Linked DNA regions of Ovis aries. The protein of the gene in region 5 interacts with the protein of the main gene of each other region in a biochemical or structural test. Links are inferred from orthologs where the notes say so. Each region holds a gene or a part of one and is shown on either strand. Other genes may lie near its edges.

The links.
Region 1: the proteins of ERBB4 (region 5) and PTPN11 form a complex in vitro, tested with the Homo sapiens proteins (2 studies listed by BioGRID, with this or other methods). The link is inferred for Ovis aries from reciprocal best matches to the Homo sapiens genes ERBB4 and PTPN11.
Region 2: the proteins of ERBB4 (region 5) and NRG1 form a complex in vitro, tested with the Homo sapiens proteins (2 studies listed by BioGRID and IntAct, with this or other methods). The link is inferred for Ovis aries from reciprocal best matches to the Homo sapiens genes ERBB4 and NRG1.
Region 3: the proteins of ERBB4 (region 5) and NRG2 form a complex in vitro, tested with the Homo sapiens proteins (2 studies listed by BioGRID). The link is inferred for Ovis aries from reciprocal best matches to the Homo sapiens genes ERBB4 and NRG2.
Region 4: the proteins of ERBB4 (region 5) and ABL1 form a complex in vitro, tested with the Homo sapiens proteins (2 studies listed by BioGRID and IntAct, with this or other methods). The link is inferred for Ovis aries from reciprocal best matches to the Homo sapiens genes ERBB4 and ABL1.
Region 6: the proteins of ERBB4 (region 5) and RASA1 form a complex in vitro, tested with the Homo sapiens proteins (2 studies listed by BioGRID and IntAct, with this or other methods). The link is inferred for Ovis aries from reciprocal best matches to the Homo sapiens genes ERBB4 and RASA1.
Region 7: the proteins of ERBB4 (region 5) and PTPN6 form a complex in vitro, tested with the Homo sapiens proteins (2 studies listed by BioGRID, with this or other methods). The link is inferred for Ovis aries from reciprocal best matches to the Homo sapiens genes ERBB4 and PTPN6.

Annotation. Positions count from the first base shown.
Region 1 is NC_056070.1:61,963,578-61,967,849, forward strand, and holds the start of PTPN11 (tyrosine-protein phosphatase non-receptor type 11), read right to left. Parts: upstream 2,801-4,272; 5' UTR 2,594-2,800; coding exon 2,580-2,593; intron 1-2,579. UniProt on the Homo sapiens protein: Acts downstream of various receptor and cytoplasmic protein tyrosine kinases to participate in the signal transduction from the cell surface to the nucleus. Positively regulates MAPK signal transduction pathway. Dephosphorylates GAB1, ARHGAP35 and EGFR.
Region 2 is NC_056079.1:27,643,960-27,647,942, reverse strand, and holds the start of NRG1 (pro-neuregulin-1, membrane-bound isoform), read right to left. Parts: upstream 2,801-3,983; 5' UTR 2,713-2,800; coding exon of another isoform or gene 2,524-2,712; 5' UTR 2,195-2,523; coding exon 1,525-2,194; intron 1-1,524. Other genes in the region: uncharacterized LOC128092250 homolog, read right to left, coding at 2,524-2,712. UniProt on the Homo sapiens protein: Direct ligand for ERBB3 and ERBB4 tyrosine kinase receptors. Concomitantly recruits ERBB1 and ERBB2 coreceptors, resulting in ligand-stimulated tyrosine phosphorylation and activation of the ERBB receptors.
Region 3 is NC_056058.1:48,884,841-48,888,906, forward strand, and holds the start of NRG2 (pro-neuregulin-2, membrane-bound isoform), read right to left. Parts: upstream 2,801-4,066; 5' UTR 2,672-2,800; coding exon 1,966-2,671; intron 1-1,965. UniProt on the Homo sapiens protein: Direct ligand for ERBB3 and ERBB4 tyrosine kinase receptors. Concomitantly recruits ERBB1 and ERBB2 coreceptors, resulting in ligand-stimulated tyrosine phosphorylation and activation of the ERBB receptors.
Region 4 is NC_056056.1:5,788,136-5,791,635, forward strand, and holds part of ABL1 (tyrosine-protein kinase ABL1), read right to left. Parts: intron 1,126-3,500; coding exon 1-1,125. UniProt on the Homo sapiens protein: Non-receptor tyrosine-protein kinase that plays a role in many key processes linked to cell growth and survival such as cytoskeleton remodeling in response to extracellular stimuli, cell motility and adhesion, receptor endocytosis, autophagy, DNA damage response and apoptosis.
Region 5 is NC_056055.1:213,465,239-213,468,738, reverse strand, and holds part of ERBB4 (receptor tyrosine-protein kinase erbB-4), read left to right. Parts: intron 1-2,787; coding exon 2,788-2,901; intron 2,902-2,990; coding exon 2,991-3,117; intron 3,118-3,500. UniProt on the Homo sapiens protein: Tyrosine-protein kinase that plays an essential role as cell surface receptor for neuregulins and EGF family members and regulates development of the heart, the central nervous system and the mammary gland, gene transcription, cell proliferation, differentiation, migration and apoptosis.
Region 6 is NC_056058.1:84,552,087-84,556,100, reverse strand, and holds the start of RASA1 (ras GTPase-activating protein 1), read right to left. Parts: upstream 2,801-4,014; 5' UTR 2,606-2,800; coding exon 2,064-2,605; intron 1-2,063. UniProt on the Homo sapiens protein: Inhibitory regulator of the Ras-cyclic AMP pathway. Stimulates the GTPase of normal but not oncogenic Ras p21; this stimulation may be further increased in the presence of NCK1.
Region 7 is NC_056056.1:209,354,266-209,357,765, reverse strand, and holds part of PTPN6 (tyrosine-protein phosphatase non-receptor type 6), read left to right. Parts: intron 1-3,019; exon of another isoform or gene 3,020-3,187; coding exon of another isoform or gene 3,188-3,195; intron 3,196-3,279; coding exon 3,280-3,402; intron 3,403-3,500. UniProt on the Homo sapiens protein: Tyrosine phosphatase enzyme that plays important roles in controlling immune signaling pathways and fundamental physiological processes such as hematopoiesis.

The DNA.
Region 1 (4,272 bases), on a different chromosome or scaffold from region 5:
TAGGCTACAGTCCATGGGGTCGCAAAGAGTTGGACACGACTGAGCGACTTCACCTGACTTCAAACTCTGAAACCACCCAAATGTCTACCAACAACTGGATGGAAAAATGAAGGGTGGTACAGGCATACAGTGGAATATCACTGATCAATAAAAAGGAACTATTTACCATACACAACAACATAGATGAACCTCAATATAATTCTGCTGAGCATAAGAAGCCACACACAAAAGTCCACTTGTATAAAATCCTAGGAAATGCAAACTAACATATAGTGACAGAAAGCAGAAGAGTGTCTGCCTGGCAACAAGGAAGGGATTATAAAGGGTTCCGGGAGCCATCACAGGAGTGACGGATATATTCATTATCTTGATTGTATTGCTGGTTTCTTGAGTGTATAAGTGTGGAAACTTATCAAATTGTATGCTTAAATATATGGAATTTGTGGCATGTCACTTATACCTCAATAAAGCTGGTTTAAAAATAATAAAAGACCTATGATCTGAAAACTAATAATAAATAATCCCCAACTGTGTGCACTGTTGTTGTTGTTATTTAGTTGCTAAATCATCTCTGACTCTTTTGCAACTCCATGGACTGCAGACAGCCAGGCGCCTCTGTCCATAGGATTTCCCAGGCAAGAATACTGGACAGGGTTGCCATTTCCTTCTCCAAGGAATCTTCTCCACCCAGGGATCCAATCTGAGTCTTCTGCATTGGCAGGTGAATTCTTAACCACTGAGCCACCTGGGAAGTCGTGCATTACAATCATTTGTGTGTGTGTGTGTGTGTGCATTACAATCATAATCTGACTTCTTAGGGGGCACATATTTCTCTTCCAAAACAAGTATGGGAGAGCCGGAAGAGGAGAGGAGGAATTACTTCATTTCAAACTGTCATCTTTACCACTTGCTGCTTTGGCTCTTCTCACACTTCCTGGCTTCTAAATTAACAAGCTGGACAATGTAGGGTCTATTACTACCCAGCCCCTACCCCACCCCCAGTCCCCAGACTTTTTGTCTCCTAAAAGAAGCAGATCCTTACTTGTCTGGAAAAGCAGACACAAGGAACAAAAGGCTCAATGACTATTTGACAGATTAAAGAATAGAAAACTGTTTTATTTAAACGCTCTCTAAAGAATTAGAACATCTGAGGCTATACGCTGTTCTGCTGAAATGCAATTATATATTACCCAGATCTGTAAGCACTTGCCAGAAGACCTGTCCAAATCACTCACTGCTTGAGTTTTCAGTTTTCTCCTTTCACTCTTTTCATCCCATCAATGAATAATGTGCAGGTGTATTTCTGAGAAGACATTCCTAATGTTTTGAAGTTTCTCAGTCAATAACCCCAACAGCTTGAAACAGTTTTCCAAATGTCTAAGACAGTGTGAATTCTATACAGAATGACAATACAATAGCAGGATCATTATCTGAAAACAATCAATCATACTAATATTTAACAACAAAATTAAGGCTTACAAATGATTGGCAATAGTTATAATAGCAATTAACAGTGGGGTTCTGTCTCCACCACTTACTGATTGAGTGACCTTAGGCAAGAGTCGGACACGACTGAGCGACCAACACTAGCACTAGAACTACTAGGCAAGTTGCTTAACTTCTGAAATTCATTTACTCTCTTTAGAGCGGGATAACAGTACCTACCTGATAGGGTTATAAGGATTAAATGTGTTTGGCATACGGTAAGAGCTAAATAAATGTTAGCAATTAGTAGTATAGTCTACTATACTACTTTCCAAGGATCTCATTAACTCACTCATCTTCCTTCTGACTTCTAGGTTCAAACCCTGTCATTTACCAGTATGTTTCTTCTGAGCCTCAGTTTCCACATCCGTAAAACGGAGGTAATTAATGTTACCTGACTTTTAAGGTTGTGGTGAAGGATTAAAATAACTAGAGATACGATCCCTTCCCTCCCACCTCCCAAAGCGAAGATCGCAGAGGAAGGAAATACTTCTAATAGCTGCAGATATAGTCAGTTTTTCCATTTCTGGCACGTGAGGGGTGGGGGGGGGGGGGAGAAGAAGATGCAAAGAGGCATACAAAGTGGTCAAGGACCCTGAGTAAAGCCCCCAAATGCGCGCAAAACGCAGAGTGACCCAAAAAGGCTCGACTATCGGCCTGGCCTCGCGCAACTCTCTCCTCTCCCCTCCCGCGTCCCGGGCCGAGGAGCCTCCCCTAAGTGAGCGGGGTTATTTCGGAATCACCATGAGGCAATTCTCATGAGGCAATGGGTCAGGAATGCGGCGCGCCGAGCCGAGCCGCTAGCGTCCGCGGTTCCCCGGGCGGCTCTACCTGTCCCCGTCCTGACGGGCATCCCCAGGGCTGCGGGAGCCGGAACTCCGTGGAGGCAGGAAATGAATGAGGACCCGAGGGGTTGGGGGCGCGCTAGGGCCGGGCCCCGGGGCCCTGGAGGGCTTAGGGGGCTGGAACGGAGCCTGCCCCGCGACCCCGGGCAGGAGTCCGAAGCCCAGCCGAGCCGCCCCCTCCCGGGCGGAGCTGACTGAAAGCGGCGGGGGCCGGGCCGAGGCCCGGGCTAGGCCCTCGGGGCTCCTCACCTCCGCGATGTCATGTTCCTCCCGCCCTCCGGCTCCGCGACGAACCGGCTCCTTACTCAGGCTCCACTGGGCCCGGTCACATCGGGCTGGCCCGAGGGAGGCCCGCTCCGGACCGGACGTGGGGGGGGCGGGCAGAGCCAGCCGGCCGCGCGCAGACCCCCCTCAAGGCCTGAGGAGCCCGGAGACTGTGCAGCCGCCCCCCAAGCCCGGTTCGCTCCTCCTCCTCCTCCTCCTCCTCCCCCGCCCTTCCCCGCCGGCTCCTCCGTGACGTCACTCCCACGCGACGCCCGCCGCTACTTCCTGCTTCCATTCTGCGCTGAGGCTGGTCATGGCAGTTCAGTGGATCTGTGGAGCCTCTGCCGCGCTGTTCCCAAAGGACCTTCTCATTCTCCTTTAGATCCTGGCGTTAAACCGTGCGTTGTGTGCTCAAAGTTACACGCAGTCGCGTGAATTGATTCTAGCTGCTCCCACAGCGTCAATTTCCATCCCTGCGCTGTGAAGTCGAATTTCATTCATTTCATTCCTCAAATAGTTGTTCCACTTACTGCTGTGTAACCTTAGGAAAGAGGTTGGGATCGCAAAGAGTCGGACACGACTGAGCGACTGAACTGAACCTTAGGAAAGTTGATTTCTCTGAGCCTCCATCCTTGATTTCTGTAAAAAGAATAGTAATTGTATTTTCTTCTTAGGATTATGAGGACGATTAAATATGTAAAATGTTTAGAACTAGGCCTGGTCTGTTTAATAAGTTCTCGGTAAAAAATCCGCCTGCAGTGCAGGAGACCCTGGTTCGATACTTGGGTCGGGAAGATCCCCTGAAGAAGGGAAAGGCTACCCACTCCAGTATTCTGGCCAGGAGAATGCCAAGAATTGTATAGTCCATGGGGTTGCAAAGAGTCGGACACGACTGAGCGACTTTTACTCACTCTCTCCTGTAGTTATTGGGGCTTCCCTGGTGGCTCAGATGGTAAAGAATCTGCCTGCAATGCAGGAAATCCCAGTTCAATCCCTAGGTCGGGAGTATCCCTTGGAGAAGGGAATAGCTACCCAATCCAGTATTCTTGCCAGTAGAATTCCATAGAGAAGCCTGTGATGCTATCGTCCATGGAGTCACAAAGAGTTGGACACAACTGAGCAACTAACACTTTGACTTTTTCACTTTTTTTGTGTGTCATTATTAGCTCTATTATCATTAGAAGGAAACGTGAGCGTTTTCTGTCTGCTAGGCACTGATTTTCCACTATAGAGATAAAAGTGAACTGAAAAGACAAAAATCCCCGATATTCTCATGGGAGGAGCTACAGTAATCGATAATAAATAAAACAATTGAGATAATACCCCCAATACTCATCTCCCTTCTTTTCTCCATTGCCCTTTATATTACTTTAAATGGGGGTATTTAGGGAAAGCTTCACTAAGGATGATATTTGAGTCAAGGAGCAGTCTAGTAGTGAAGTTGCTCAGTTGTGTCTGACTCTTTGCCACCCATGGACTGTAGCCTACCAGGCTCCTCCACCCATGGAATTTTCCAGGCAAGAGTACTGGAGTGGGTTGCCGTTTCCTTCTCCAGGGGATCTTTCCGACCAAGGGATCAAACCCAGGTCTCCCACATTACAGGCAGACACTTTACCATCTGAGCCACCAGGGAAGCCCTGAGCAGTCAGTGGAAATTTAGAAAAAGAGCATTTCAAGT
Region 2 (3,983 bases), on a different chromosome or scaffold from region 5:
AGCAAGCCTCTTTTGTTTTTCTCTTTAAATCTTTGCCACTGAAACTGGTGTGTATGAAATGAGCCTGAATCACAAGCACAAATCAAGTTTTTCTGCATTTCTAGAACATATGGCTCTCCCGCATACTGAACGACATGTCTGCAAAAGATATTTTTAATCTTCATTACCATCCAGAGGGAAACAGTAGGGGTATTACATCACAGAATCTTTACCCTCACCTCTCCTTTAGAGACTTTACTTACACACGGTATTCAAACAGAATTCTCTGATCCTTTACTTTTTTCTAAGGAAACAGTTTCAATGGTGAACAGAAGACAGTGAAACGAAAGTAAATTAGAAACTTTTTTAAAAGCTATAGAAAATGCCTCTCTTCTATAATGACATTTAAAACAATCTGACTAGTCATGGTTTCATCCTTGTCAACTTTTCCATTATAAAGCATGGCAATGACCAGTACAGACAGCAATAGGACTCCTCTGTATTGTTTTAAGAGCACGGGCTCTCTTCACTCACAGATTATTAAACAGGACTGCTGCAGTCTTACGGACAAAAAAGACACATCTGAAAAAAAAAGATTTACTAATGCGTCTTGTACTTTCTAATGACTGTCAAGGAAGCTATTTAAATATTTGATTCCAGAAGGCAAAACCACTTTGGACAAAGTATAATAGGAAAGAATATATGTGTGTGTGTGTGTGTGTGTGTGTATGTGTGTGTGTGTGTGTGTGTGTGTATACCAGAGTCACTTTGCTGTACAGAAGAAATTAAGACAACATTGTAAAATCAACTATACTTGAATAAAATTAAAAAAAAAAACAACAACCTAGTTTGGGGAAAATCTTTTCATGTGGAATTGTACCAGATCCTGAATAAAACTGCCCCTAACAAGTGCTCAGCAACTCAAACTATAATCTGAGCATGACAGCAACCTGCTGGTAAGAGGTGAGTGCTGTAAACATCTAAGACTTCATGTGATATTGGGAAGAAGCAATTAAAGTACAAACGTGGGGAGAAGTGGTTTAGGGAACAGGAAGAAGAGATGGAGAAAGATAACTCGCAACTTGGGCTGGCTGGAAGGCAAAGGATAGCAGAAAGGTGAGGAGAGGTAATGGAAAGTTTACATGGGGAAAAAAAAAACACATCAGGATCCTACTCACTGCTGTACAGAAGTCATATATATATAAAATGGTCTGATGTTTTCATCCTAAAAAGTGTTAGAAACCTATGGAATGGAACTGAAAGTCAAGCATGGCTCAGAGATGCTGAAGCTCTGGGTCCTCACCCCAGATTTCACCATCCAGGAAGAGAGAGTTGCTGTGATAGCATCAGTTCTAACCAGCAGTTTGTAAGGTCTTTTCACTCATCTCTGCCGGAGCAACCCAGTCACGTGATGCGCTTAAACCAAACCGTGCCATTCAACTCCGAGAAGACAAGGACCTCAGCTCTACCCTCTAGAGAACACTTCGGACGACCTCAAGCCCACCCATCTCCTCTACACATCCTCACCCGTCTCTCTCTACTTACAAAGTTTAGGAGCAGTTTGGAGATTAGTTTCTGTTGATGGTGGCTGAGTGGCTGCCTTGGGTGTTCTCACGTCAGGGCTCCGAGTGGGTGAAGGGAGGGATGGAGCAGTGGACGGCCGGAAAGAAAAAGCGAAGATACGGTTCTTGGGGGTGGGGACCGCCGAAGGCTCGGAGGACCCAAGGGCATTGTCAACTTGCACTGTAACTCGAACCTCAGTTTCAGACTGAGCCCTGGAGACAGGTGAAGTGTACGCCTTGGCTGATACCCACACAGCAGCTGAAGCTGCAGTTGGATCCAGAGAAATAATAGGATCCTGGCCTAATCCCCCAGGGTCAAGGTGAGTGGGAGAGTCATACTCAAAAATCTTGTCCACAAACACCCACTTGAGGCCCGCGATGCAGAGGCAGAGGCTGACCAGGCAAGCCAGGATGGGGACGATGCAGATTTTCTCTGAGTTGAGGCAACCTCTCAGGCGCTCGGTTTCCAGGCAGACGCAGCAGGGAAGAGTCAGGCCCACGAGCCCCGGGGACCTCCCATCTTCAGTCTGGGTCTCCGGCATGTCTTCGGCTGCCGGAAGTCCGTCCAGAGATGGGTCTGCACTCAGCTGAGTGGAAGGGCTCGAGGACCTCTCAGCAGCTCCCTCGGACATGTCTGGGGAATAAATCTCCATCGGCTCACCTCCAGGAGGCCTGGCCTCTCACACTGTCCATTACCATGCAGAACCCCCCCCAACCAAATGATACAGCATCTTACAGGGAGAAATCGATAAGTCGTCCAAGTCCAAGGCCATTATCAAAAGCAAGAGGAGTTCAGGAGGAAGGCAGGGGAGGCCAAAAAAAAATCAACAACAACAACCAAATAAAAGTATATTGTAATTCTTGACTGCTGTTTCTGGGCCACTTTTGCAGTTCTTTTATATGCTTCTCCAAACCATCCTGGCTGGGTCAGGAAGACCGGAGGCCAGCGGAGAAACCCAGGAGCTGATGCGGCGGCGGTCGGTTAAGTAAACCAGTAGCCCAAACTGAAAGGCATGTTTCTCACCTCGAGCAGCTGCAGCTGGGGTCTGCTCAGATGGAGAAAGCAACTGTCATGCAGAAGAAGTAAAAGCAGGAGCAGGACCAGCGGCGGCGGCGGCGGCGGCAGCAGCGGCGGCGGCAGGAGCGGCAGCAGCGACAGTAGCAACAGCATCCTGTGGTGTGAGCGCGGCGGCTGAAAGGGGCTGAATCATCACAGAGCAGCAGGTGCCTGCCCTCCGAGCATCACGGCGAAGCGTCTCTTCGCAGAGCGCGCTGGAGGCGAGAGCGCGGCCGGGAGGGGCGGTCGCCGCGCTCGCCGCCCTGCCTTCTCCCCCACCCGCGCAGCCACTCCTCTTTGTCCTTCCCGAGGCTCATTCACTTTCTTCCTCTGCGGCTCCTGCCTTCTCCACAGTCTCTTCCCCTTGCCTTCCCCCTCTTCATCCAGAGACTCTCTCTCTCCCCTCTTTCTTTCTTTTTTACCTCCCTCCTCTCCCAACCCCCACCCCTCTATCCGCACTCTGGGGCTGCTGGCTGGTCTGAGTAGAATCAGGATACCCAGCAAGGCGGGACTGCCAGTGACTTCCTATTTTATCCAATTAGAAGGAATAAAGGCCATCAAATCAAAGAGAAGCAGGCAGACAGCAGTTAAGCTGAGTCCCCATGGCCCCCACCCGGCTAGCCTCCTTTCTCTCTCTCTCTTTCTCTCTTTTTTCCTCCCTACCACAGCTGCCCTAATCTTCCACCCCCACCTCCCATGCTCTAAAGTCTCCCTGGTTCTCTCTTCTGCATCCACTGTTGGGTCAGAAAAAGCCAGCGATCAATGCTAGCAATCTAACAAAGCTAGGATGAGGCGGGGGGTGGATGTAGGTGGGACCTTATGGGTTGGACCTGAGGCTTGGCAAAGTCTGATATCTGATTCCTCCCTAGAGAGGTAAGCTTTTCAACAGCAATTTCTTCCTGCCTGCTGCAGAGAGATAGCATTCCATCCCCAGCCCTCTAATAAGTTTTGTTCACCGAGAGGACTGTTATTGCCTGGTGTTTCAACCAACAGCAAGAACATTGTTTTTCTTTTTTTTCCTCCTAACCATGGACAGCTCTGCCTTCAGCCCTGTTGCAATGACTGGGTAAGACTTGGTGATGCCCAAGTGTGAAGTGTGGAATATACATTGGAGAAGGGGGTGCTCAGGGAGGGGAGAGAGGTCTTTATGTGCCCACACGGGTCCCCTTTAAATTTTCATCCTTCTGTCCCACTCACAGCAGTCCCGGACTGATGTCCAGCCAACAAGAAACACCAGTAACAGCTATAGAGAAGGCTCCCGCTTCATCTTGAAAATAGCCTTCACTGTGACTCCACACTGCGGAGGTTGAATTCCCTGAGCGCTGTAATGTATACCACATGTCCTCAGCTATAACTGCACTGCAAGGATTAAGAAGACTTTTCTA
Region 3 (4,066 bases), on a different chromosome or scaffold from region 5:
TGACCCCTAGGTCTTTCATGATCTCCATATTCAACTATTTAGCTATTAAACACTCACTAAAATAAACAAGGTATAACTGAAGGAAGAAGGGGGAACAGAGGAGCAAGACAGGGGATGATGACCACTGGGGCTTGGTGCATCAGACTGGGGATTAGGTGGGGATGTACACAATGCACACTCAGGAGCAACTCACTGAAAAGCAAAACAGAAGCTGTCCTTGGACAAGGTTCAATAAATGTTTTTACTATCTATTTCTCGCTGCATAATACAGTTCCACAGCTCCCCCAAGGAATCTCAGGGAAAAAAAAATCACTTAGCAGAATAAAAAATTAGAAATTCTTAACTGGTCTCAACTTATCATAAAATGTTTCAGAGCACAAAAACCAACATTAAAGAGCAGTCAACAATATTCCTCAGAACAATGTCAGAGAGATAAACTGCTGTCATCACCAAAAGTTTCTTTCTTCCTTATTAAGACACTGCAAGATTCTTCTGATTAAAGTGATCACAGTTTAACATAATATCTAGATATATTCCCACCACAAACTAAAATTTGTCTTCTGAAGGACAGGGGCAGGGAGGGGGCGGGGGACATGCAGTAGAAAGGAAGCTTCCAAAAGTCAAAGGCATTGATCTAGAAAGATGAGGGCAGCAAAACTTCCTCCGAGCTGTTACACATTCTTTGCTACTCAGAGTCTTATTTACACTACTCAGAAGCAGTTGGCAGACTAGTAAATATACCAACTTCTATGACAGACCAGGGTATCTATCACAGTTCAGTGACTGCACAGCTCAGACGCACACTGCAAACATCAAATTCAGCCTTAGTTGGGACGAAATGAAACCCCAATATGAATAAGCACAAGACAGGCTAACACCAAACACTCCAGTCCAGCCACGATTTGGTTTGAAATAGCTTCCTGAGAAGTAATTACTGGATTCAGGGACAAGGAGGAAAAGATCTTAAACTGACATTTCTTTGACTTTTCACATGGGAGACTCCATTCCCAGCTGCACAGATGGACAGACTTCAGTGTTGTGTTTCTCATCACCTGCATTCCTGTGTAGCACCCAACATCATGAAGATGAGATATGCAGTCAACACATCCTGCGCCGTAAGATGTCAGAGCTGAACTTCACAGCATTCAGGAGAAGTTACTCTATTTCACCCGTCATCACAAGCAACAGACCTAGGAAGATCTCCCAGAAACAGCCAAAAGAGGTGTCTGCTCACTAGTACTGGAGGTTAAGAGAGGGCTGTGCAACCAGCTCAGCAAAGACAAGCAATCACGATGGAGGAAAACAAAACAAAACAAAACAAAACCCTGAACCACATGGGGGACAGAAAACAGTAGCAGAAAAAGTCCAACTCTGCCTGCGCCAGCGGTGTGGATGAGCTGAGCCCGAAGCCCAGGAGAGGAAGGAGGGGGCGGGGGCCATCATTCCCTAGGAGAACTTGTAAGCGGAGGCCTTCACAGCCTGGGAGTCTGCCCAGCTGCTCCTGCAGACCCTGCCAGCCTGGGCAAGGCAGGCCCTTGGGAGCAGAGCGGGCAAGGCCTCCGAGGGTCACTCCTGACTCACTGAGCTTCGGGCCAGCAACACGCGGACCTCTCCTTTTTTCCTGCCGCTACTGGGCTATGATGGCAGCTTTCCAGCCCCACATGCCATACATCAGCCGCAGATCCCTGCTGGCACAGGCCAGCGCGTCCCCCCGCCCCCCAGCCCTGGCACACTTCGAGCCTAATCTTCTTTCTCCCCAACACCAACCCCCTCACCCACCATGCCAAGCGCCCTGCCCAGGGACAGCCCCACCACCCGTTCTCCCGCCACCCCCCACCCCCAGCCCTCACCAGCGGCCCCGGGCTCTGCCAGGCCCGGGCACCTGCAGATACCTCCCGCCCCACCCCCATCTTCCACCACCTCGCCCCTCCCCCCTTTCTCCAGCAGAGAGAGGGGGCAACTCACCGCAGTCAGTGCACAGGATCTTGCCCACCTCTTTCTTGAGGTTTTTGCCGTTGGTGTTGAGAGGGGCAAAGGCTGTCTTAAAGACCAAGGGCTGCTCCGTGGGCTCCAGGAAAAAGATGTAGCGCTGGTTCCTTTCGAGCGGCGCACAGGAGCCCACGCTGATCACCTGCTCGCGCTGCAGTCCCCCGCTCCGGAGCGGCCACTTGTCCAGCACCTTCACCAGCGCCACCCGACCCGAGGCGGGCGGCTCGCGGGTGCTGTTGGAGCTGGAGCCGCCTCCGGCCGGGGCCAGCCCCTGTACCTTGCCCTCCACCACCACGGGCGCCTTGTACGCCTGGTCCTGCACCGACTTGAAGCTAGGCGAGTAGCAGGCGAGCGACACACCGAAGAGCAGCATAGAGAAGCCGGGGGCCGGGTCGCGCCTCATGCCTCCGGCGGCTGCGGCTCGCGAGCGGGCGGCGGCTCTCCGGGCTGCGGGGCTGCGGGGCTGCGGCTGTTGCGGCGGCCGCGGCTTTGGGGGCGCAGCGGGACGAGAGATGCTGCTGCTGTTGATGTGGCTGCTGCTGCTCCTGCCGCTCTCGCCGCTGCTGCCGCTGCCGCTGCTGCTGCTGCTCCTCTCGCTGCTGCTGCTGTCGCTGTAGCTGCTGCACCGAGCCTTCTCCACTGGCGGCGGCGGCGGCAGCGCTAAGCAGCAAACCTGCCGCATCTGGCCAGGCCATTTGGGGGGCTCCGCCGCTCCGCCGCCGCCGCCGCCGCCTTGGGAGGGGAAACCAGAGCCCGCTGGAAAACCGGAAACAGCGTAACGTTAGCGCCCAGTAACCCTCCACCGGCGGCCCGGGGAGGTGGCCCAGCGAGGGCAGGGGGGCAGGCAGCGAGCGGGCCGAGATGCGCAGCGCGGAGCGGCGCAGCGCTCCCACCCTGCGCGCCGGGACCGGGAGGAGGATGCGGAGGATGGGACGTCCTCCCACTTGCTCTCTCGCGCCCCCTCTACCCCCGAACCGAGTGGGGAGCGCGGCTTCTGCAGGGGAAGCTTGGGACTGCACTGCTTTAGTGCCTAGCTTCAGGCCCCGCAGGGAAGCGAGAGGAATCGTGCTACGCTGTGCTTTGGGGATTTATCCGCACGATAGTGGGGGTAGTGCGTGAGCAGAGGGCAGGGTAAAGGTAGCAGATTCTGGTACCGTCCTATGAAGGGAGAGTGGGACACAGGGTGTGCTCTGCCTTTGGACATCGGCTGTGGGAGCCAGGGAGATGCCACGGCCAGGGTGACTGACCTGCCTCCTGGGTTGTATATTCCCTTCCCCGGCAGGACCCTAGGGGCCAGTCCCTAATTGAGCCCACGGGCTTGGCCCTCCACCTCCTGGTGAGTGGCTGGAGATTCGAGTCAGCTGGGGAGGATCCCAGCCCCGTCATTTGGGTGAAGAGTTGAGGCTACATGGAGTCTTGGCTAGGCGTTGGGGCCACCCAACCAGGGGTGGTGGTTAAGAGAGGGTCCAGCCTCTAAGTCTCTGGGCTTTTTTCCAGCAGCCAGGCAGAACCAGGCTGCATGCTACACAACCTCATCACCTTCTTTTTTCCCCCCTTAAAGCCTCTCCCTAAGGAGGTAGGGGCTTCTTGGGAGCCAACCTGAGAGCCAGAGACGGTCAGGGCCAGAGCTACCCCACAGGAAATGGTTTCTTTCTCAAAGATCGATGCTTGCAAGAGGCAGGGGAGTTTGCTTCACTGAAGCCAGCATCTGATTTTTAAAAGCAAGTTAAGGATCCTTTCTCACTCTATCATTAAGGATCCAGAGAGATTTTAATACCCAGCTTATGTCCTTGAAGGATACGGAGCTCAGGAATTCCAGTAAGGTCTTAGAGAATCTTATCCTCGCCTGAGGACTGCAGGAAACCAGCCGGAGGAGGACGTCTGACTTGAGCTGGGAATGCTATTCTGGAAAGGGAGGCGGGAGCTAGAGCTTTCCCTCCTGGCTAAGAGACATCCCAAACTTAACATACTCAAAGCCAACATCATTATTTCTCCCACTCAACTGCAAATTCCATGTAATTATTAAGGGAGCCATTTTATACTTGGCCAGCCAACCCTGCCCAATAAGACCTTCAGT
Region 4 (3,500 bases), on a different chromosome or scaffold from region 5:
CGGGTTTCGCCTTCCCCCCAGCGCCTGCCTCCCCGGCTGCTTCCTGGCTTGGGCTCTGCGAGGGCTTCCCGGCTTTGCCAGCGGAGGTGGGTGGCGGGGGCGGTGGGGCGGGTTTGAGCTTGGACAGCTTCCCCTTGTCTCTCCCCGGGGACTCGGAGGCGGGCTTGTGCCTCCTACCCCGGGGCTCCTCTGCAGCAGTGGCGGCGGCCTTGCTGGGCCCTCCGGAAGCTCCTGGCCCGGCCCGGCTGGTGGGGGGTGCCGGCTCGGCGGGTGTCCCCGCGGCACTGGGCCTGCCGGCATCCTCCTTGTGGGGAGGGCTGGAGGGAGGCGCAGCCGCACCCTGCCTCCGGAGCGGTTTTGGCGTCAGGCTGGGCGGGCTGGAGCCCGGGCTGGCCTCAGCCGCGTCCTTGAAGACCTCGTCGGCGGCCTCCTCGGTTTTCTTTACCAGCCGGGGTGGCGGGGTGACCGTGCCTCTGGTCATCTGGTCAGACCTGTTCTCGCTTGCCCGTTTCCGAGGCAGGGCCGGCTTCTCGCTTTTGTGGCCTCCGAAGGTGGACGAGTCGAACTGCCTGCTGGTGGACTGCAGGTCCCGAGGTAGGGTGACTGACCGCCACTCTGTGTCCTTGGCGCCATGGGGCACGCAGGAGGCTGAGCAGGACCTCAGGAAGCGCTTGCTGGCACCACCACCGCTCTCCTCTTCACCGGCAGCCAGCCGGCTGCTGGTCAGTGTGCTGGACTTTTTCCACAGGTGGGGCGACCGGAAGCCCGCGCCCCCAGACTCCCGGAAGGCTCCATTGGGGACCCCGGCCCCGCTGCTGGGCTTCGGCATCTTGGCCGACTCCGCTGTGTCCAGGGGTGCCGGCGCCAGTGCCCCGTTACTGATTTCCCGGCCTTCCTCCTCACTGGCCGCTTTCCGCTCGGGCGGGCCATCCATCTCCCGGAAGGAGCTGCTGCGTTTGGGAGGGGTCGGGGCAGTTTTCTTCTTCTTCTTGATCAAGGCGCTGAACAGGTTGGTTTTCTTGTCTTTGGGAAGCAGGCGTTCATCCTCGTTGAGGCCGCCATCTGGAGGACCCCGCTCTTTTCGAGGGAGCAGTGGAGATACAGCGGGCTCATGGTCCACAGGATCTGAAACACACAGGGAAGAGCTGAACGAGTCCAGGCCAGAAGCGAAGAGCCTGGCCTCGCACGGGCCGGCGGCCTCTCCTCACAGAAAGGCCCTGCATCTGGGCTCTGCCAGGCCTGCGTGTGTGGTTGGGCTGCCCGACCCTGGCGAGTGACTTCTCTCTGCTCACCCTCGGCCTCCTCATCGATGAAACGGAGCACATTAGAGCTACCTGGAGTGCTGCAGTGAGAATAGAAGGGATGTGGGCATTTATCACAGCTCCTGGCACGGAATCCTCAGTAGCTGTTGGCACTGCATGTTGGTGTTGTCATTACTGGGCAGAGCTAAGCTCTCTCTCCTTGAAGACAGCAGAACAAAAAGCTGTGGCACCCGCGCCCACTGCCCCACCCCTGTTAAAGCAGAAAAGGCCCCTGCACACCACCATCTGGAGGGTACAAGGCAGACGAGGCCAAGCACAGGGTCAGGAGCTGGGCCTCTCCCACCAGGCGGCTGCTTGCGGCTCCCGCAAGGCTGGGCAGGAGGGAGAGGGGCCGCGTGCCACAGAGTGCAGTGACAACAGGCTATTATGCTCGGGGAACTAGAAGGGTGACCTTTTAAAACTTTTAAATGGGCATCCTTTAAATATGAATAACAGTGTCTAAGAAATCTTTCTGGCGTTGCCAAGCTCCCCGCGAGTGAGTGACAGAGCTCTCCCTCCGAGGGCGGGAGCAGCGCGGTGGCCATCAGCACCTGGGACACTGAGGGACGGGGCATCTGTCAGAACAGCAGGCTGCACACAGGACTCCCAGATCCGGGCAAGTCAAGGCCCTCCCCAAACCTCAGCCCCGTCGGAGGAAGGCGAAGAGAGTGAATTTCTAATGAATTATGCACAGCTCTGTTTCAGGGGCTGAACAGCTAATTGACACTCTTGGCACGCCATGAGATTACATATCAGAATACCCCTCAGATGAATACTGATGGGGGGTAAATGAACATGATGGCTTATCACTGGCCTTTTAATAAGCCGAAAGTTCTCAGAGTGGCCCCTCCTCCCCACCGCTGTCCCACTTCCTGACATCAGGACGACTAACAGAAGGATGGAGGGGCCAGGTTCTAGATAGTTTACATGCTGTCGAAGCAGGGCAAGCAAGACGGTCCAGGGAGTGTGCAAAGAAAGCAGGATAATTTATCTCTTATGTAAACCTTTTAAGTGTATATTTTTGCTCTATTTCACAGTAAATGTATTTGTGCAGCAGTACATATACAATACCTATGTACAGGAGCTACACATTCAACTTTTAAAATATGGGTACATGATGAAAGAATAGCAAGGAGAGATAAGAAATCTGAAAAATTCCAGATATTCAAGCTGGATTTAGAAAAGGCAGAGGAATCAGAGATCAAATTGCCAACATCTGCTGGATCACGGAAAAAGCGAGAGAGTTCCAGAAAAACACCTACTGCTGCTTCAGTGACTACGCTAAAGCCTTTGACTGTGAATCACAACAAACTGTGGAAAATTCTAAGTGATCAATGTGAAGAAATAAGAGGAAAACAATAGAATGAGAAAGATTAGAGATCTCTTCAAGAAAATTAGAGATACCAAGGGAACATTTCATGCAAAGATGGGCTCAGTAAAGGACAGAAATAGTATGGACCTAAAAGAAGTAGAAGATATTACAAAGAGGTGGCAGGATTACACAGAACTATACAAAAAAGATCTTAATAACCCAGATGACCACGGTGGTGTGATCACTCACCTGAGCCAGACATCCTGGAGGGAGAAGTTAAGCGGGCCTTAGGAGCATCACTGTGAGCAAAGCTAGTGGAGATGGTGGAATTCCAGTTGAGTTACTTCAAATCCTAAGAGATGGTGTAAACGCCATATGCCAGTAAATTGGGAAAACTCAGCAGTGGCCACAGGAATGGAAAAGGTCAGTTTTCATTCCAAACCAAAAGAAAGTCAATGTCAAAGAATGTTCAAACTACTACACAACTGCACTCATTTCACACGCTAGCAAAGTAACGCTCAAAATTCTCCAAGCTAGGCTTCAACGGTACATGAACCGAAAACTTCCAGATGTTCAAGCTGGATTTAGAAAAGGCAGAGGAATCAAACTATCAACATCTGCTGGATCATGGAAAAAGCAAGAAAATTCCAGAAAAACATCTACCACTGCTTCATTGACTATGCTAAAGCCTTTGACTGTGTGAATCACAACAAACTATGGAAGAGCTGGGATATACCAGAACACCTTACTTGCCTCCTGAGAAACCTGTATGCAGGTCAAGACGCAACAGTTAGAACCAGACATGCAACAACAAACTGGGTCCAAATTGGGAAGGGAGTATGTTAAGGCTGTATATTGCTACCCTGCTTATTTAACTTATATGCAGA
Region 5 (3,500 bases):
CTCAAATTTTCTTTTATGGATTAGTTTAGGTCTATCCAATTACACGCTAATTTAAAGCACTTCATTATTTATCTATGTAAAATTCAAATCTTTGAGGGACCTTGACTATGCTAAACTGTAGCTATCTTGGGAAACCAAGATGTTTAGCTTCTAAATACTGGTCTACAATTCCTAATCCAGAATTTTGAAATTCAAAACCTAAACAATACATATTTTTTGAAACTTATTTGACTATAAAACTTGAACTTTTTATGAAGATACTTAGAATCTTTTTTATTTATTTCACTTGACATAAGCTGCTACAAAAAATGTAGATTTTTTAAATAAGAGGTATTCCTAAAGACCTTGCAGAAAGGATGGTTACATCTGTTACAGTTTGGGTTCCCATGCTACAGAGATTTTGGTTGTTAACAAATGTTCTTGGGATCAGGACCCGTGAGAGAAGGAAAAGAAGTGAGCTCAGACTGTGATACAGTCTTAGCAAGGTGTCTCTTCTGTGACAGATGCTCTCTAGTGGATATTAGCTTAGAATACAAAGATCATCACACTTTATACCCACTCCCATGGATTCAAATATATCCCTCTACCCCAGACTGCTTTCAATTCCAGTTCCAGATCTTCTAGCATTTCTTCTCTCAGAACAAGACACTGCTCATGCTGTTGCTGTTGTGTTAGTTGCTCAGTTGTTTCTGACTCTTGCAACCCCATGGACTGTAGCCCACCTGGCTCCTCTGTCCATGGAATTCTCCAGGCAAGAATAATAGCTATTCCTTTCTTCTGGGGACTTCCGGACCCAGGAATCAGACGTGGGTCTCTTGCATTGCAGTCAGGTTCTTTACCATTTGAGGTCATATTTACTCTAAACTCATATTTATTCCATACAAAGTAAAGGCTCCTTTGTACTACCCAGAACTATGCCCATTGGTAGAATTTTTACTTGCCACTCTTTCCAGTTCACTCCTGACTGAGGCTGCAAGGCAGGTACCATGCATTTTCAGTTGCCTGCACCTACATCCCAAGATTAGTTTTTGTACCCCTCTGACCTCTTGTAATAATTGCCCTCTCTTGGTTCCCCATGTAGCCATAGATATGAACTTAGTAAAAGGTGCCAGCACAGTGATCAGTGGATAATGTAGGGGTTTGGAACACTTGCTTATGCAGTTTACTGTGTGAGTGCCCCAGCTCATATCAATTCCAAATTCACTGCTTCCGTCTTACAATGGATTTCCGTTGGCCCTTCTCAAAATTATGATGTCATGGTTTTTAACAAAACTTTGTTTGTGATGGGCAATTCGGACTACATGATCAATCAATTACCCATGGTTAGGTAATCCGTCTCTACCACAGCCCAGAAGCATGTCAGGAGTTATTTATTAAATGGGGTATAATTCCTAGAGGTCTCTGATGTGATTTTCCAGTTGAAACTTGCCATAACTCCACATGGCATATTTTCCCACCATACATACTTCTAATATTATAGAATAAGTATATTAGAATATTGTATAATATTCTAATATTATAGAAGTATGTACGGGTTTTATGATCCAAATAACAGGATTGCTTGCAGTCCAGCCTAGACTTGCACTATTTGCCTTTCCTGCTCTGGATCCCTTCAAGATCAGAAGCCTTCTAGGCTACCGAATACTGCCAGAATCAGTATTTCCAAACATGGAAGAATGCTGCCTTCAAAACCCAAAAGTAGCCTGGCAGGTATTGTGTTTTCCCTTTATTGTAGAAATGGATGCAATAATTTGTCCTTATTTTTGGAAGGGAATGTTTGGCATATCCCACCGGAATTCTAAACATTCTATCATGGCAAATAATTAGACGTTCATGGTTTATTTAGTAACCATTCCTAAAATCTGCTGCTGCTGCTGCTGCTGCTAAGTTGCTTCAGTCATGTCCGACTCTGTGCGACCCCATAGACGGCAACCCACCAGGCTTCCCCGTCCCTGGGATTCTCCAGGCAAGAACACTGGAGTGGGTTGCCATTTCCTTCTCCAATGCATGAAAGTGAAAAGGGAAAGTGAAGTCGCTCAGTTGTGTCTGACCCTCAGCGACCCCATGGACCGCAGCTTTCCAGGCTCCTCCGTCCATGGAATTTTCCAGGCAAGAGTACTGGAGTGGGGTGCCATTGCCTTCTCCGTTCCTAAAATTATGGGGTCGCAAAAAAGCCGGACATGACTGAGCAACTAATACTTTCACTTTCCTAAAGTACTGCCCTTCCAAATTTCATCTTTTTTTCTTTATATGAAGCTATGGGACAATTTCTACAGCTCTCCATTGAAAGATGAACATATTTTAAACATTTCCTCCTGTGATATAAAGTACACTCCCTTCATCCAAGGCAGTTTAACTTCAGCTTCATTTGTGCTTCATGTAACTTGAAGTATTTTTAGATTTCAAACTTGTATCATGGCATGAAATGAAGCGGAACTGTTGACAAACAAACTAAATGTCATGCAGTTTCCTAAGACTATAAAAGAAATTCACTAGTTCTGGGGGGCAATTCAGGATGTGGAGCAGTAGCCAAGCAAGTACCAAATGTTGTTAACACACGCTGCCCTTGGATTTGAATGCAGACACTCATAGATGCTATTTCAGGTTGATTGCTATTTCAGGTTGATATGTTTAGATAAGGAGTTGTTGTAGGGAAAGAAACATACACACTATCATTTTCAAAGGGTAATAATGTTCAAACCCTAAAATATCTTGTTTCAAATTCTATTGCTGAACATCAACATTATTGGTAAATTTACCTTTTTCTTTTTTTTTTTTTTTAATCAGATAACTTTGTAGTTGATTCCAGTTCCTGTGTGCGTGCTTGTCCTAGTTCCAAGATGGAAGTAGAAGAAAATGGGATTAAAATGTGTAAACCTTGCACTGACATTTGCCCAAAAGGTAGTGATTTTGTACTGTCATTCTATGATAAAAATGCATTTTATTGACTAAAGGAAATTTTTCTCAACTCCCTGATCTTGTTTCTACAGCTTGTGATGGCATTGGCACAGGATCATTGATGTCAGCTCAGACCGTGGATTCTAGTAATATTGACAAATTCATAAACTGTACCAAAATCAATGGGAATTTGATCTTCCTTGTCACTGGTATTCATGGGTCAGTATTACATTTTTATTGAAAATGTTATTGTAAAATACAGAGTTTAAGAGATTCTTTAGTTTTATCAGTCTGATTCATTTTGACACAGAGTTCCATTATATATTAATGGTTTTTCCCAGCAAAATCAATGTCAGATTTCACCAGTGGTAATTGTAAACCAAATTTTGCAAGAATAATCCAGATTATAAATTTGTTGACTACCTGTATTTGAAAATAATGATTTATATATAAGCTAAGATGTATTTATAGGATATTCTCCTCAAATTCATAGATTTTAGTGAGTTTGACACATTTGTAGATACATTTAGGGAAACACTATCAGTGGATAAAGTGGGAAATTTCATTCAAATTCCTAACCCAATTAGTTCAAGATGACATAA
Region 6 (4,014 bases), on a different chromosome or scaffold from region 5:
TTATGTACTATTTGAGCCAATTTACTGAACACTTACTACGTATGAGTTACTGTGCTGAATACATTCAGGGATTTCTCATTAACCTTAAAAAGTATCATATGAGGGCGATAGCATTATTACCCCATTTTACAGATGGGGAACCTGACCTTTGCAAGATCATACAGCTAGTAAGTAGCAGAGTCAGGATTCCAACCCAAATCTTGTCTAACTTCAGATTTTGCACCTTAACCCCTACACTGTATTGCCTCCAGTAAGTCTGGGTTGATATCTAAGATAAAGAAGAGAGGGAAATTTGTACTTCTCGTTGGCAACTTTTAAAAACTATAGTGAAATGGAGGATACTTTTTAGAACATGAACAATTCTCATATACAGAGTTACACAAATAATATTTTTATTCCCAAACACAAATGATGAAAATCTTACAATGGATTTCTCACAAGAATAATTTTTCTTAGGTTCTCATTTATATTTATTAAAAATTTAATTGGAACACTGTGTTTTCTGTTCACTTCTACGGTGAACCTAAAACTGCTCTAACAAATAAATTCTATTTTTAAAAAAATTTAGAACTGCAACACACTAAATATGCCTTATTCAATTTAGTTAAGAACTAACATAAGACTATATTCTTTCATTATGAAAAGCTGAACTTTATCATAACCACAGGGCCCTTAATACTTAAGTAGTTTTGAAAAAGGCTTGAAGATGTGTAAACAGAGCTGTAAATTTTGAATTTTTAATACTTTCAGAACACCTTCAGAGAAGTCTGCAATATGTAGATAAGAAATGATAAGCAGAAATTAAATTAGACAAAAAATTGAACTCATGATGAACAATATAAAAAGAATAAAACTCCCCTGTCCCATGGCTGACATAAGATTAACTTTACTTTTCCATCAAAAGATGTATGTAGCCTTAAGTCAAAAATGCCCTAATTTGTTAAGTCCTTTCTAAATTTTCTAAAGAAGCTTATCCAAAAAAAGAAAAGAAAAAAAAAAAACAGACACAAAAAACACCTTCAACTGTCTAGAGTGATGGTCAACACAGGAATCAAATCTTTCTTCCTCTGATACCTCACCAAGGTTGTCAAAATTCTAAAGGACAATTAAGACAGATATGAGGGATCTATAAAACAAGTTTTGCCTACTGCCCATCAACATGTTCCTCTCAAGATCCAAACCTAAGTTCACTTATGAAGAGAACAAGGGAGAAAGTACTATATATATATGTAAGTCATTTGTCCTGTATATTCTGCAGAAGACTGTCAAAATTAATTTTCAAATAGAATACTGTATTTGCCACCAACAAAAGGTGAAGGGAAGCACAATATTAATTCTAGTTCAATACTGTACTTACAAAGTTTCAACTTACAGAAGAATTATACTAGCATATTAGTAAACGGGAATTCTACTGCACATGTTAAATACTGTGGGAGTACAGGCCCTTAACCACACCAGTAATTAACAGAACTTTCCTTTCTCGCTGACCCACGTTCTCAAAAGCAATCCAAAGTCTTTTCTGCATCGCAGTGCTTTCAACAGCCAGAAGCCGGGAATTGCAGGGCAACAAAAACAAAGCAATCCGACCAAGGCACGTTTCAAACAATACTACCACGATATTCACTCAAATATTCAAAGCTTCTCACTAATTGTCTAGCTTCAACAGGGAATGCAACCAGGTTAATACAGACTACGACTGCCTCGGTAGCTGCAAACTCAGCTGAATCCCAGGACGCCACCTCAATCTGCAAGGGACAGAACCATATCCGGTTCTCCCTGGATACACATTTTCCCATGCTTCCCATCTTGAAAACTTTACATCTTCCCAGAGGAGCAATAAATATACCAAGACGCCAGGGAGTGTGCCTGTAGGGAGGATGAGTGATCAAATTAAATCCGTACGCACGGAACCTTGAGCTTCAGAACTTTTTCTGAACGAGTCACAGCTGAAAACACGAGTCACAGCTGAAAGCACTACGAGTCACAGCTGAAAAGAACTAGACCTGTTTTTCCTATTTCTTTCCAAGGAGTCAGCTTCCCCCAAAACGCCGGTCTTGACTTACTGGTTAGTCGGAGGAGCGGTCAGCGGGATGGCCACCTCTTCCTCCTCGTATTCTGGTCCATCCAGAGAGTCACCTTCGTCCACTGTTCCCAGGCCAGCGCCCAAAGGGGGCAACTGAGGAGGAGGCGGCGGCAGAGGAGGGAATCCGCCGCCGGCCCCGAAGGTCTCAGTGGGCAACGAAGTGGTCCCTTTGGCTTCAGCCATCTCCCCGCCGGGTCCGGCGGCGGCGGCGGCGGCGGCGGCGGCGACACCAGCCACGCCGGCGGCAGCGCCTCCGGCTGACAGTCCGGCTCCCCCCGGGGCCCCCGCCACAGACCCAGGTCCCAGGAAGCCTGACCCCAGAGCGGCTCCGCCACCCAGAGTCGCGGCCACGCCGGCCTCCGCCAGCCCAGGAAAGGGGGCGGCGGCGGCCACGGGCAGGGCCGCGGGGATCTTCACCCGACACACCGCCGGGTAGGCACCCGAGGCCGCGGCCGCGCCGCCTCCCGCTGCCCCGGCGGTGACCGGGCCGCCCTCCTCACCGCCGGCCTCGGCCGCCATCATGTTGAAGCCCGCTTTACGCGGCCCTACCCTGCCCGCCCGGGAGCCCCCAGGGGCCACCAGGCCCGGGCTCCGAGCCGCCCCACCCAGGCGCGTCCCCTCTTCAGCTCCCCGGGCGGAGGAAACAACAACAAAAGGAGAGAGCCCGCTGCCGCCGCGCCCCCTCTCCGGGCCACAGCCCAGGTTCGGGAGCTCCCCGGGTTACGGGAAGAGAAGTGGGCAAAAAACCCCAACGCCTGCACAAACGCCGCCCAAACCTTCACCTTCCACACCCACACTCGCGCGCGCGCGCACACTCACACACACACACACATGCACAGAAGCGAAAAACTTCCTGGCTGCACTAAAGAGGAAGGGAAGCGAGGCGGGGGGGAAAGCGGCTTGAGGCGGCTGCTGCTCCCTCAGCCGCCGCCGCCGCCACCGCTTCTTCACCACCCCAGTTCCGGCCACCCCCACCGCAACCACCGCCGGTGCCGCTGCAGGGGCTGGGGCCACTGCGGCCGCCTCATCCTCCACCGGGCTGAGGCGGGAGGGGTGGGGAGAAAAAGAGGAAGGGGGGCGGGGTAGCGGGGAAATCAACCTAAAGGCTCCCAACCTGGAGCGCTAAGTGACATCGACGAGAGAAAGGAAGGCGGGGCGCGGGAGGAGGGGCGGAGGGAAGGAAGGGCGGGGAAGGAGGGGCGAGAGGGCAGCTTCTGCGCAGGCGCACTCCCCGCGCGGAGGCGGTGGGTTGGGGTGGGGGTGTGGCGTGCTGGGTCTGGAGGAGGGAAAGGAAGACTCTGGAGGGAAGGAAGCGGCGGGGACGCGCGGTGTGCGGCAGCGCTCGCTGTCCCGAGCCGAGGGGAGCGCGTGGAGGCGCGGCCAAGCTAGCAGTCCCGAGCCAGTGGGGAAGCGCGTGGCGGCGCGGCCGCCTCGCCGGTCGGTGTGGCCGGTGGCGCGCGCCTGCCTGACTGGGCTTTGTCTGAGAGACGGGTTAGGCGGCGGAGGGGAGGAGTGGGTCCCCGGCACGCGGCCGCTCAGCGGGGTAAAAACCTGTGAGCGACGAGGAGGGTTTCTTGAAGAGGGAGGGAAAGAGAAGGGGAGATGAGGCAAAGCCAGTTCCTCGCTTCCCGACCGGTAGAGCGGACGCCGTGGCCGGCGGCGCAGAAACCCGACGGCCGAGGCCCGCGGGGGTGGCAGTTGGAGGGGTACCTGCCTGGAGGTCCGAGAGAGTCCTGTTAGTGTTTCCGTTCTCTTTTCATTATATAAATGACTATATGACTATTTCAAGCTAAAAAAAATAAAATGAAAATTTTTTTAATAGATTCTAAGACTCATGCGAAGAGTTCACTCATTGGAAAAGACCCTGATGCTGGGAGGGATTGGGGGCAAGAGGAGAAGGAGACGACAGAGGATGAGATGGCTGGATGGCA
Region 7 (3,500 bases), on a different chromosome or scaffold from region 5:
TGTGCACGTGCAAGTGCTCTGTGAACTCCAGAGCACTTATGCCCAGGGAAGGGTGGTGCTTCTTATTTATTTTCCTGCCAAGTAGAGACTGTGTGTATCATCCTAGTGTCTGTCTACCTTCTGACTTGACACCCTTCAGAGAAATTCCTGTCTCTTTGATGGTCAGGAGTTTCTGAGTGCCTAGTTAGTTTCTTTTTTAAAATTCCAGAGGGACAGTGGCTTGTGGCCACAGTACAGGGGGTGTTGGGTGCTATGTAGGGACCTGCAACTTTGTGGGTGGTTGGGATGATGTGTCTATGTGTGGGTGTTTGCACCTGACTATATACGTGTGTAGATGGACTTGGATGATGAGGTTGCCTTTAGTGGGACTGTGTGTGCGTAAGTGGATGCTTGTGCATGCGCGTGCGCGCACGCGTGTATACTCATCGGTATGTGACAAGTAGGATGTGCATGGGTAGGACTGGACCTGGGCTTGTGACCATGTATGTGCATGGGTCTGGATGAATGTGGTCATTTGACACATGCTCTCTGTGAGACATGGTGCTAAGTTTTAACCACTTGGAGGTGAGCCATACCAGCTGTGGACCTCCTGTGCTGGAGGTGAGGGCCCCCGGTAGTAGAGGTGACGGTGTCCATTCTCTTCCTGCCCCCTGCTGCGAGAGAGAGTTCATAGTCTTTCAAGGCTACTACTGTCTAAGATAGAGGTAGTCAGTGTTAGACCATGAGATAAATAGATCAAGCAGGGTCTCCAGAAGCCCTTTTTGGAGGTGGGGAGGGCGGAGAATTGATATTCAAAAAATGATAAAGTAGCCAACATAAGAAAATAGACTTTCATTGGGCTTGAGTTGATTCTTATTTTTCCTTCTTTTTTGAGGCATAGCATACATAATATGCTTGAATACTGAACATCACATTTACTTCATCTGTGTACACACCACTCAGATCTGCTATCCCAGAAATTGCCATCTCCCAGTCAGTATACTTATTTTAATGAAGGGGCTACATGCTCATGCTACAGTCTTCAAAAAGGTGGACTGGAAGGACTTCCCTGGTGGTCCAGTGGCTAAGAGGCCCCCAAGGCAGGGGGCCTGGGAGAGATGCCTGCTCAGGGAAGTAGACCCCACATGCAGCAACTAAAGACCCTGCAGGCTGCAATGAAGCTCAAAGATCCTGCATGTCACAACTAAGACTTGGTGTAGCCAATTAAATAAGTAATAAATACAAAAATATTTTTTAAAAAAAGGTGGAAGGAGAGAGATGGAAAGGTCCCTCCCAGCCCCTTCCTCCAGCTACCCGCTCTGGTCCCTTCCCTAGGGAATCTACTCACAGGATTTCTTGTGTATCTTTTTTTTTTTTTAAATTTTGGCTGTGTCTCAGGGCTTGTGGAATCTTAGTTCCCTGAGCAGGGATCAAACCCTTGCACTCTGTAGTCCTAACCACTGTACTCCCAGGGAAGTCCCCTCTTGTGTATCTTGCATTGGGCTTCTTTCCTCTTGCTTTCGTTTGGCGGTATGTTTTTTTGGAATTAGACGGAGTATCACAAGCTTTTAGTGTTTAGGGCCTCTGCAGGTGAACAGGCCCTGAGAATAGGCCATGGCCAGGTCTGGGTGCCCCGCTGCAGCCCAGGAGACAAGCCCCTGGGCAGAGTCCTGAGCTCCGTCGGATTCAGACCAGACCCCCTCAGCAAGAACCTACAGTTCAGACTCCGGTGGATCCATCCATAGGGCTGGCGGCTCTGGCCCCACCTGCTTCGCATTCCGCTTCTCACCTGACTGCAGGGTTGGGGCACGGTGGATGGCCCAAAGGCCGAGGACAAGAAGCAGGGAAGGTGCCAGTTGGACAGGGCTGCTCCAGGGTCATTTTATCCAGCCCTCTGTCCCAGGGCACCTATTCAGATGTGTGTGTCGAGGGAGGGTTTCTATGCCTCTAAGAGGCATCTGCCCAGCCTAAACAGTTAGGAAACTGCCCTCCCCCCACTTTGGCCTGATTGGAAGAGTCTCTCAACCTCTGTTCGTTTTTTTAAAAAGTTATTTATTTATTTGGCTGCACCTAGTGTTAGCTGCAGCATGTGGGATCTAGTTCCCTGACCAGAGACCCAACCTGGGCCCCCTGCTTTGGGAGCAGAGTCTTAGCCACTGGACCCCTAGGGAAGTGCCCCCCTCCCCAACCTTTTTAACTTTTTCTCTTCTTTTTTGAAATTTACTTATTTGGCTGTGTCCAGTTTTAGTTGCAGTACACAGGATCTTCCATTGTGGTACACAGATTTAGTTGTGGCACGGCTCAATTGCTCCACAGCATGTAGGATCTTAGCTCTCTGCCCAGTGATTGAACCTGTGAGGCCTGCCTGCATTGCAAGGCAGATTCTTAACCACTGAACCACTAGGGAAGTCCCTTAACTTTTTATTTAACTTTTTATTCTGTTCTCTGAAGCCCTGAGGCCTGGCATATAGTAGCTAAAATCACTAGCTTTGGAGCCAGGCCATCCGGTTTGCACTCTGGTTTGCCATTTACTGACCGTGTGGCCCTGGGGCAAGCTGCCTTCACGCCCAGAGCCTCAGGTTCTTTGTCTGGAAAATGAGAATAATGAAGGTACCTGCTTCACAGGGCTACCTTGAGGACATATCAGATAAGGCAGGTAAATACTGCCCAGCACTGTGCCTGTTGTCTAGGCAGACACCGCTAATGATAGTTGCCACCCTCAGCATTATTATTGGTTTGGACCAGGGAAGGCTGCATGGAGCAGGAAGAGATGGCGCGTGACTGTGTGGGTTCCCATGGACCAAGCATGAGCTGGCCTGGGGCGCTGGAGGCTCACGTGTGTTCTCATTTGGGTGGTCGTGTGTGGAGGTCCACCCTCCCCAGGCCTTCAATGGCGGGCGTGTGGGAAGTGGGTCCTGTCCCCACCCCCACCGCCACCCCGAGCTTCTCCCTGCTCTGCCCTAAAACGAGAAGTGAGTGAGTTCCCCCAAGGGGTCGGCCGCGCCCCTTCCTGTCCCCGCCCTGCCGGCTGCCCCAGGCCAGTGGAGTGGCAGCCCAGAAGCAGGACAGGACCGCGCTGGGTGGCGAGGTGGCCTGGGTGCTGATAGCTGCCAGAGCTTAGCCCCAGCGTCCCCCGCCTGCCCAGACTCAGCGGCACCACGCCGTTGCCTCACGCCTTCACCCCCCTCCCCGCCCCGGGCACCCCAGGATGGTGAGGTAAGGGCCGGGCACCCATGGTAGGCAGGAGGCAGGGTGCCCCAGGGCCCTGAGGCCTCTCCTCACCACCCTCCCGGCCCCCAGGTGGTTTCACCGAGACCTCAGTGGGCTGGATGCGGAGACCCTGCTCAAGGGCCGAGGAGTCCACGGAAGCTTCCTGGCACGGCCCAGCCGCAAGAACCAGGGTGACTTCTCCCTCTCCGTCAGGTAGGTGGCCCACGGCTCCAGCCGGGGGTGGGGTGCCAGCCCTTGGCTGCTCGTTTCGCTTCCCCAGGCCCCTGGGTGTATCCACCCCAACCCTGGCC